Arabidopsis thaliana: one gene and its partner. The protein of the gene in region 1 interacts with the protein of each later gene in a pairwise test. Each region holds a gene or a part of one and is shown in the gene's direction. Other genes may lie near its edges.

Region 1 (4,650 bases):
ATATATAGAGATACCACGAACTGTACCGGGAATTTTGGGTAGAAACCGGAACCTTAGGTTTATGATCGGTTCGAAGTTAGAACCAACATTCCACTCACAATAACATAATTCAGTTTACAGATTAATTTCACAATAGGTTCAATCCTGTTTTCTTACGTTTAGCTTTGAGAAAACTTAAATGGTGCAGATTCAAATTTCGACCGACACAAAAATTCCAATCTGGTTTAAAGTTCAAACCGACCAAAGCAAGCCTATCTTAACCAAACTTTAAAGAACTCAAACTAGACCAACTCGAACCGAATTGGTCAATCAAAGCTAATTTTATCGATTGGTACAATGCATAACCCGGTTTAATCCAATCCAAACCAGGTTCTTCGTGGATAGGGTACCAATTCGAGTATACAAGAACAGTGATAAGGTACCAAACAACGACTTCTTCCCGAACCAGAAGCCGATGTACTTGTTCTCCAGCATTTGGAACGCTGACGATTGGGCTACACGTGGTGGTCTGGAGAAGACTGACTGGAAAAAAGCTCCATTCGTCTCTTCTTACAAGGACTTCGCCGTCGAAGGCTGCCGTTGGAAGGATCCATTCCCTGCATGCGTCTCTACCACAACAGAGAATTGGTGGGATCAGTACGACGCGTGGCATTTGTCCAAGACACAGAAGATGGATTATGCGTGGGTGCAGCGTAATCTCGTCGTATACGATTATTGCAAAGACAGTGAGAGGTTCCCTACTCTTCCTTGGGAGTGTTCCATTAGCCCTTGGGCTTAAAATCAATTTTGTTTTGAGTGTATTAAAGTGGAAATGGTTTATGTAATAATTTTACTCTCTTTTTTTTGGCATTTCTTATTTTGTTATGGACTATATCCTCTGTTTATTTATTTAATTAATTATTTATTTAGTCGGCTATATTTCATAACTGCTTTTTAAGATGTATATTAACTTGAGAATTCTTCTTACACTTAAGGTCTCAGAACAGAACAGTGGGTCAAAAATATAAACGAACATGGATGAGCATAAGAGTAAAGACATGTGACAAACAAAAGGTTCAGCTACAGCTACTAATGAAGCCCAAATACCTTATTGAAAAGAAATAGCATTTGTGATTGTGATATTATAAGAGAGCATATCCAGAAACTTTTGTCCGATTTACCATTCGATAACATCAATGACAATCGTCCATCGATCGTTGTAGTAGTAGCATCTCTAGAAGAACCCACAACTTTTGATTTCTTTGAAGAAATCAACGGAAGTGGGTTACATTACATCACAATCGTGAGGATAGGCCTAGGATTAGCGATTTACCGTTTTTTAATGTACATTTCTTCTATAAACACTATCTTCTAATAAATAGTCCAAGTTTGCTAAATATGCCAAGTTGGACATGTGTTATGTCCGGATTCATTCCGATATTAAAAGTCAACCTTTTACGTGCCAAGTGATGAACACTATTTATCGCATTTTTAATTTGAAAAACAATTCATTTTTGATTGACAATTTTGAATTTCTTGCATTTTATTACGATTGCCTCACTTTTGGGTATAAAAATAATAATATGACATACTGGTGGGATAAAATAAATAGTACGTTTTCTTACACACTATAAATTAAATATGTTCGTAAACTTACTTTGAACCACAATGTCAACTAAGCTTGCTAACATCATTTTTCCTCTAGAACTTGTCTCCCATATATGTTTCTAGCCCATTTCTCGTCTTGATAGTCAAAGGACATTTACACATAGCACAAGTATTTCTTTCCAAACTTGTATGCAAATATTCAAACTTTTCTCCCTTTCTCTTAATTAATTTCCAAAAATTGATATGTAAAAGAAAGACAAATATAACTTGGTGCCATAGTCTTTATTTTTTCAGCTAATAAATACATAATGCTATTACCACTTTTTACAAGTACCTAAAACAAAAACAAATCTAGAGGATATGGGAAAGAAGCTCCTTTGAATAAATATTTCAATAAAAATAATACTACTAGATCTACAAAAACATAGGAAAAATAATTGCATTTGTCATCTTTAGTTTTTTATTTCACCAAATTGTCTTAAATTAATTAATTCCGTAATAAATACCTTGTATTAGAATTGCAGTTGACTAAACCCTTTATTGATTCATATATAAGTATAAACCAAACAATAAATGAGCATAAAATTTCTAACGTTCCAAACAAAAATAAACCCCAAAACTTTCAAAAGGTTACAAACAACCCCCTAAGTAAAGAAAATGACGATCAATTTAGTCCCTCTTCTCCTCTCCCTAATCACCATCTTCACCATCTTCAATCCATCCGCCCTTGCAGACCAGAGTCAAATCCGCAGCACAACAAGCCAATGGCTCCATTTCTCGGAGGACCTCAGCCAATCAACTATTGAAGTCTCCATCCCCACCATAATCGCCGCCGTTCTCTCGTTCTTCGCCGCCTCTATCTCCAGCGCCGGAGGAATCGGCGGCGGTGGACTCTTCCTCTCGATAATGACAATCATCGCCGGTCTCGAAATGAAAACAGCTTCAAGCTTCTCAGCGTTCATGGTAACCGGCGTCTCTTTCGCTAACGTGGGATGCAATCTTTTCCTGAGAAACCCTAAATCAAGAGACAAAACCCTAATCGACTTCGATTTAGCTCTTACTATTCAGCCATGTCTACTTCTCGGAGTAAGTATTGGTGTGATCTGTAACCGTATGTTCCCAAATTGGCTTGTGTTGTTTCTCTTCGCTGTGTTCCTCGCCTGGTCAACGATGAAGACTTGTAAAAAGGGAGTTTCTTACTGGAATTTGGAGTCGGAAAGAGCGAAGATTAAGAGTCCAAGAGACGTTGATGGCATCGAGGTAGCGAGATCGCCGCTTCTGAGTGAAGAAAGAGAAGATGTGAGACAGAGAGGGATGATTAGGTTTCCATGGATGAAGCTTGGAGTTTTAGTGATCATTTGGTTATTGTTCTTCTCTATTAATCTTTTCCGCGGAAACAAATACGGTCAGGTATGAATTTAAGTATCTAAACGCGTATTTATGATTTTTGGTCGATTGATTTGAATATTTTTCTATCTCAATGCTCTCATTGCTCTGTTTCCACATTCCCTCCACTTATTTGAACGTTCCTTGAAGTGTTATAATTCTTTCCAAATTATTGAAATCTTAATGGCATGTAGAAGTAAGAAGTTGATATACTTTGGATTTGCACAGGGAATCATATCGATCAAGCCATGTGGAGCTCTCTACTGGTTCCTCTCCTCGCTTCAAATACCTCTCACTATCTTCTTTACTCTCTGCATTTACTTCAGTGACAATGTTCAAAGCAACCACACATCGCATAGTAACCAAAACTCTGAACAGGTCCAATACATACTACTTGCTGTTGATTAAATTAGCTTTTCTGTTGGTCAAAAGTCAACAGGTTTGATGAATATGAAACTGAAATTACTCCACAGGAGACTGGAGTTGGAGGAAGACAAAACAAGTTGATGCTCCCTGTAATGGCTCTCTTGGCTGGAGTTTTGGGTGGCCTCTTTGGTATTGGTGGTGGAATGCTCATTAGTCCTCTTCTTCTCCAAATCGGTATTGCTCCAGAGGTACGTTCTTGAGTCTTGTTCTCTAGCAGCATCAGAACCAAAGTTTTACCAAAACAAGCAATTGGATTCTTAAGTTAATCGTGCTCTCTCTACAGGTAACTGCAGCTACATGTTCGTTCATGGTTTTGTTTTCTTCATCAATGTCTGCAATCCAGTACCTACTACTAGGCATGGAACATGCTGGAACCGCTGCGATATTTGCTCTGGTCTGTTTCGTGGCATCACTGGTTGGACTAATGGTGGTTAAGAAGGTTATAGCCAAGTATGGGAGGGCTTCGATCATTGTGTTTGCAGTTGGTATCGTCATGGCACTTAGCACTGTACTGATGACAACCCATGGAGCTTTTAATGTTTGGAATGATTTTGTCTCTGGTCGCTACATGGGTTTCAAATTACCCTGTTAAGAACCAAAATTAAATAAATCCAGTTCTTGTTTATAACAGAACTTGCTTTTATAAAAATTTACACTTACACTTGATATTTCACACAAACCAAATACCAAAGTTACAAACTAATTACACTTCACACAAACTTTATTTAGTATTCTGCTCGTATCTATAAATCTCTCTTAAGCAATATGAACAACACGTGAGGACTGAACGAAACCATCGACCCGTTTCTTAATCTCATCAGGGTTTGCGCCCACGAGTTTGTCCATCGCATTACCATCCTTCAAGAACAAGAAAGTTGGCATCGCCTTTACCTCTAGTTGACTTGCCACTTCCTGACCAATCCAACATAGTAAAAAACAAAGAAAAACCATTAATCATCTACCAATTTAGCAACTGTTTAAATCTTTTACTCTTGATGGTTAAACACTTCTCTTCAACAAAGAAGCCAAAGTAGAAAGACATATCAAGTAGAGAGACACATAAGTAGTTTTACCTTAACTTCATCAACATCAACTATTAGAAACAGAGCATCCTTATAGTTAAACGCAAGCTCTTCGAAGAAGGAGTTCATAAACACAGAAGGAATACACCATAATGCAGTGAAATGAGCCACAATCTGCAAAAAACCATAAAGGAACAACCGTTCTTGGTAATTCATATAAACAAACAAG
Region 2 (4,578 bases), on another chromosome or scaffold:
TGGCTTCCAAGCTATGGATTGTGTCTTAGAAGCTGCTTCACATGGACTCAACCAAGGCTCATGAACAAAAAAAAAAGTCATCAATCTTATGAGTTGATTTCGGAATTGTTTTGGCTTCATCTTTTTTTTTTTTTTATGTTTGTTTTGTTGTTGTTTAAACTGTTTCGATGACTCTTTGTATATGGTGGGAGTTTTCTTTTGATTATGTAATGTTTTTTTTATAATTACTTTTCTTCTTTTGGATTAATGATTATTCCTGAGGTGGAGACTTTACTATATATAGAGAGAATGAGTTGGAAGATGGAACTTGGGAACAAATCGTCGTGGAATACGAGGTGTATTAGACTTTCAGTTGTGCAAAGGGACAAAACAACATGATCTGTTAAAATTTCTTTGTTTATACACCACAAATTAATGCATACACACACAGTATACATGTGTAACGTTTTTGATGTTCCCGTGAAAATAGATGTGTATTTAGAGCCTAGATGGATAGATTATGATTGGATGAAACATTTGTAATATTTTGACAAAAGTTTACCATTTACGTTAAATGTAATAGAATGAACATTCCTCTAAAAAAAAACTCCCTAAGCAAAAAATTACTATAAGGATGAATGGTATATCGCTTAGTCACGTTTTCAAACGCTATTTTTTTACATTCAAAATATTTATCAAATTTTTTTCGATTTCACGTTTTCGAAAAGTAATTCGGCTGTATACTACTAGGCTACTAGCATGTCAATATACCTAGAAAAAAACATGATTAATCCACTAGAACTATATTTTCATCCATTAAACTAATTTATTCAGTTCAATTCATTCCACTAATAATTATTCAGTTATTCCGTCATTTCACTATAATTATAAGTTATAGACAAGTTTTTTTTACTAACATGTTATAGCTATCCTTCAAAAATGGTACTTAGCAATAACATCTTATAGCTATTCTGAACATCCATAATGTTTTGTCATCCAATTTTGTTCTTCAAAATAAACAAGTTAAAATTAATTTCTCGTCTTCAATTCTAAATAATTGGCTCCACTGATGAAAGCCCATAACCCATATGGAAAAACGTGCATTTCAGCATTTGTGTAGATAGCGATATTTTGTTCGACTACACAGAAAGTTTTTTTTCTTTTTGACTACCAAAGAAATTTGATTCATAGTATCTTCGAGTTAGGTACCAAAACATGTAAAACAGTCTCGTCTTAAACCGTCCAATACGACTTCATGACCGACAAAATTAAATCACACGGCCAGTTTTGACGCGTGAGACAACAACCTACTATTGAGGATTTGGCTAAACACTCGCCACAATGCTTCTATTGTATTGACAATATTTGTGTTTATTTCATTTGTTATTAATAAAGACAAATATCATAAGTAATAATTGACTACTACTAATCCATAATTTAAAATGTTATTTTTTTTGAACCAAGGACTACATAACTAACAACTTGTGACTAAAGATTACAAAACATGTTTTAGTCGTTATTTTTAATCATTATAGTTTATAGTAATCGCTATTATTCGTTGTTATTGCTAACTATGAAATGAACATGGTTGTACATTTTGTCCCATCACTACCACCAAAATTTTTGGATTTTGTTGAAAAAAGGGAGACTAACCATGGTTTACAAAGAATCTATGAAATACTAACGAAACTATACACAATTATCGACTTTATTATTAAGAGACATCGTCTACAATATATGAAGGTCAGCGTGTAACATATTTTTGTTTTTGGGGCGTTTTTAGTATTTTAGACAAATATAGGGATTTATCGTAATTTCGATAATCTTGTGGTTTTTTTAGTTATAAGTCTCCTCTTGTCATATTCACGAGCCGTATAAAAAAGTTGTTTCTTTCTTCTCTGTTTTTTTGCTTTCGTCTTCAAGAGAGAGAGAGAGAGAGATACAAAGAGAGAAATTTGGTTGTTTGTTGACGGAAGCTTCTTCGGTCTCTCTTCTCCGTCTTACGATTGTCAACGCGTGGTTCCATCTTCAATTTTGTTTCTATTTTAGCAGAAGTTTCTCGAGCTTCAAATACTGTTTCAGATCAATCAATCAGTCAATCATGGCTAGCTCTGGAAACAAGAACATCAACGCCAAATTGGTCAGTTTAATTCTTCTGGATTTTGCTTATCCTTTGAAGGATGATCGTCAATTTTGATTAGATCGTTGATTTCGATGAGTTAGTTCTGTTTCCAATTTGGGGAATTTTCAACCAAATTCTCTGATCTGAAATTGGATGATTGTGATCGAATTAGAAATCGCATGGTTTATCAGTATAAAACTAGGGTTTGGAGTAAAGGTTATAGATTTTATTCGATCTGGTAGTTTTGTTTTAGGGTTCTAACGAGTCAGAAGAAAAATCTGTTTTTTTCCCCCTTTATTTTGTTTTTGGTGGTTAACTTGGTTAAGCGCTTCAGGTATTACTAGGAGATGTTGGAGCTGGAAAATCAAGTCTTGTGCTACGGTTTGTGAAAGATCAGTTTGTTGAATTTCAGGTTGGTTGGTGGCATTTTCCTCCTGTGATCTTGATAGAGGTTTTCTTCTCGTTCCTGTGGTTGATTCTTGACTTTTTGATACTCGTTTTGTTGTAGGAATCAACCATTGGTGCAGCTTTTTTCTCTCAAACATTGGCTGTGAATGATGCGACTGTGAAGTTTGAGATATGGGATACAGCTGGTCAGGAACGATACCACAGTTTGGCTCCAATGTACTACAGGGGTGCAGCTGCTGCTATTATTGTCTTTGACATTACTAATCAAGTACGAACTCACGATCCTTGTGTTTTTAGTCACGAATGCACTGACTTACAGAATATCAGTGGACTTTAGTGGCAGTTTAAGGCTCTCTGCAAAGTTAGGTTTGCTTAATTTTTGTTTTTCTATTGCCACAGGCCTCATTTGAGAGGGCGAAGAAATGGGTTCAGGAACTGCAGGCACAAGGTATGGAATAGCTGACTTTGGTTTTAGCTAGTTTATGATTCCTACTTTCTGATAGTTGGTGTGGTTTATTTGGTATCATTATATGTTAATGTGGATCATGTGAATAGGTAACCCTAATATGGTGATGGCTCTTGCTGGAAACAAAGCTGATTTATTAGACGCAAGGAAGGTGTCTGCAGAGGTAAACTAAATCTTTCTTTCTTTTGCTGTCTGATTTTGCTTTGCTAATGCCAAAAATCTTGATGAAATTCGAAAGTACCGGGAGAAAATGTTAACTAACACTCGGGGATGAGATTCGACTGGTGCCTGTGAAATCTTCTATTACATCACCTACCGACTTGTTTTTTTCATTACTGAGTTGTGTTGTTAAGTAGTTCTTGATATTGTTATTTACAGGAGGCAGAGATATATGCTCAAGAGAACAGCCTTTTCTTTATGGAAACCTCAGCGAAGACCGCAACAAATGTCAAAGACATATTCTACGAAATAGGTGAGTCATTCTTTCATCAAGAAAGCTATTTCCAACAATTAGTTGTTTTCAATTAAATCCCTTTTTCACTTTTGTTTCTCTTGTTCAAACCGCTACAGCGAAAAGGCTACCACGTGTACAGCCAGCTGAAAACCCGACAGGAATGGTTCTCCCAAACGGGCCAGGGGCTACGGCAGTGAGTTCATCGTGTTGTGCTTAGATTCGTACCTGAAGAGAGATCTCATTTGGTTAGTCACATAGTAGAGAACATCTGGACTTTCATGTGTTTGCTTCTTCTTCGTCTTTGTTACTTTACTTTGCTTGCATTGACAACAACAACAGTGTATATCATGATGATACTTATTCTGCCTTTGTGAAATCTGAAGATATTTGTATTTGGAGAGATTTATATATATATATCTCTTTTGTAATTAGAAAACAAAACTTAGTCCGAAAAAAATGTGCTTATCTTTCGTTTATGTTTTAAGTGAATGCTCAGATTTATAGGCTTATTATCTTTTGTATTACTTAAATCTCCAAAATGTTTTTTCCATTGTTGGAATGCTGTAATATGAATGTATATATCAATAAAAGAAACACCTTTGAAAAAAAAAAGTGGCATTGCTTCTCTCTCCCTTCTCTTCTTTCATCTTTCAAAGAGAAAGAAGTTTTTCCGTTCAGATTTTGCCGGCGTTCTTCTCCAATGACTTTGGTCTCACTTCGATAGCATCTTCGTCCGGCTATGAATTAAGTGGAATGATATTCTTGTCAAAGCTTTCGATTTCCAATTGATGAACTGCAACTTGAAGATTGAAAAGCTGTTGTTTGAAGAAGAAGATTCACAAATTTGAATAAAGTGGAGTCATATTCTCGTCAAAGCTAAAATATGAATTTCGCCTTTGTATCTTTGGGCCAAGATTGAGATCTGCCGATTGAACAAATTTTGGCCGGAATTGAAACTTTCCAACGTCTCAAAGACGTCACAACGATCTGTGGGTGATCGGAGACTCCCATCCCTTCCACTTCCCACGTGTCTTCCAAACCTGTTTCCCATTTGCAACATGTTTTATATGTTGTGTACAACAAGCTTTTCCTTTAGTTGGACTTGTTTGTTTCAGTATTTGTGAAATATTGACCTATCATATTGGCTCT

What was found.
Region 2: the proteins of AT1G11540 (region 1) and RHA1 interact in a protein complementation assay, tested with the Arabidopsis thaliana proteins (one large-scale study listed by BioGRID).

What each region holds. Positions count from the first base shown.
Region 1 is NC_003070.9:3,874,817-3,879,466, reverse strand, and holds AT1G11540 (Sulfite exporter TauE/SafE family protein), read left to right. Parts: upstream 1-2,143; 5' UTR 2,144-2,244; coding exon 2,245-2,997; intron 2,998-3,201; coding exon 3,202-3,351; intron 3,352-3,446; coding exon 3,447-3,587; intron 3,588-3,682; coding exon 3,683-3,991; downstream 3,992-4,650. Other genes in the region: XTH8 (xyloglucan endotransglucosylase/hydrolase 8), read left to right, coding at 370-778; CXXS1 (C-terminal cysteine residue is changed to a serine 1), read right to left, coding at 4,156-4,311, 4,473-4,595.
Region 2 is NC_003076.8:18,242,415-18,246,992, forward strand, and holds RHA1 (Ras small GTP-binding family protein), read left to right. Parts: upstream 1-1,848; 5' UTR 1,849-2,080; coding exon of another isoform or gene 2,081-2,119; 5' UTR 2,120-2,254; coding exon 2,255-2,317; intron 2,318-2,435; coding exon 2,436-2,513; intron 2,514-2,609; coding exon 2,610-2,777; intron 2,778-2,908; coding exon 2,909-2,957; intron 2,958-3,064; coding exon 3,065-3,138; intron 3,139-3,353; coding exon 3,354-3,447; intron 3,448-3,545; coding exon 3,546-3,646; 3' UTR 3,647-4,036; downstream 4,037-4,578. Other genes in the region: AT5G45120 (Eukaryotic aspartyl protease family protein), read left to right, coding at 1-64. UniProt on the Arabidopsis thaliana protein: Involved in the trafficking of soluble cargo proteins from the prevacuolar compartment to the central vacuole. Involved in vacuolar transport of storage proteins with EREX as effector. Regulates membrane trafficking to protein storage vacuoles (PSVs).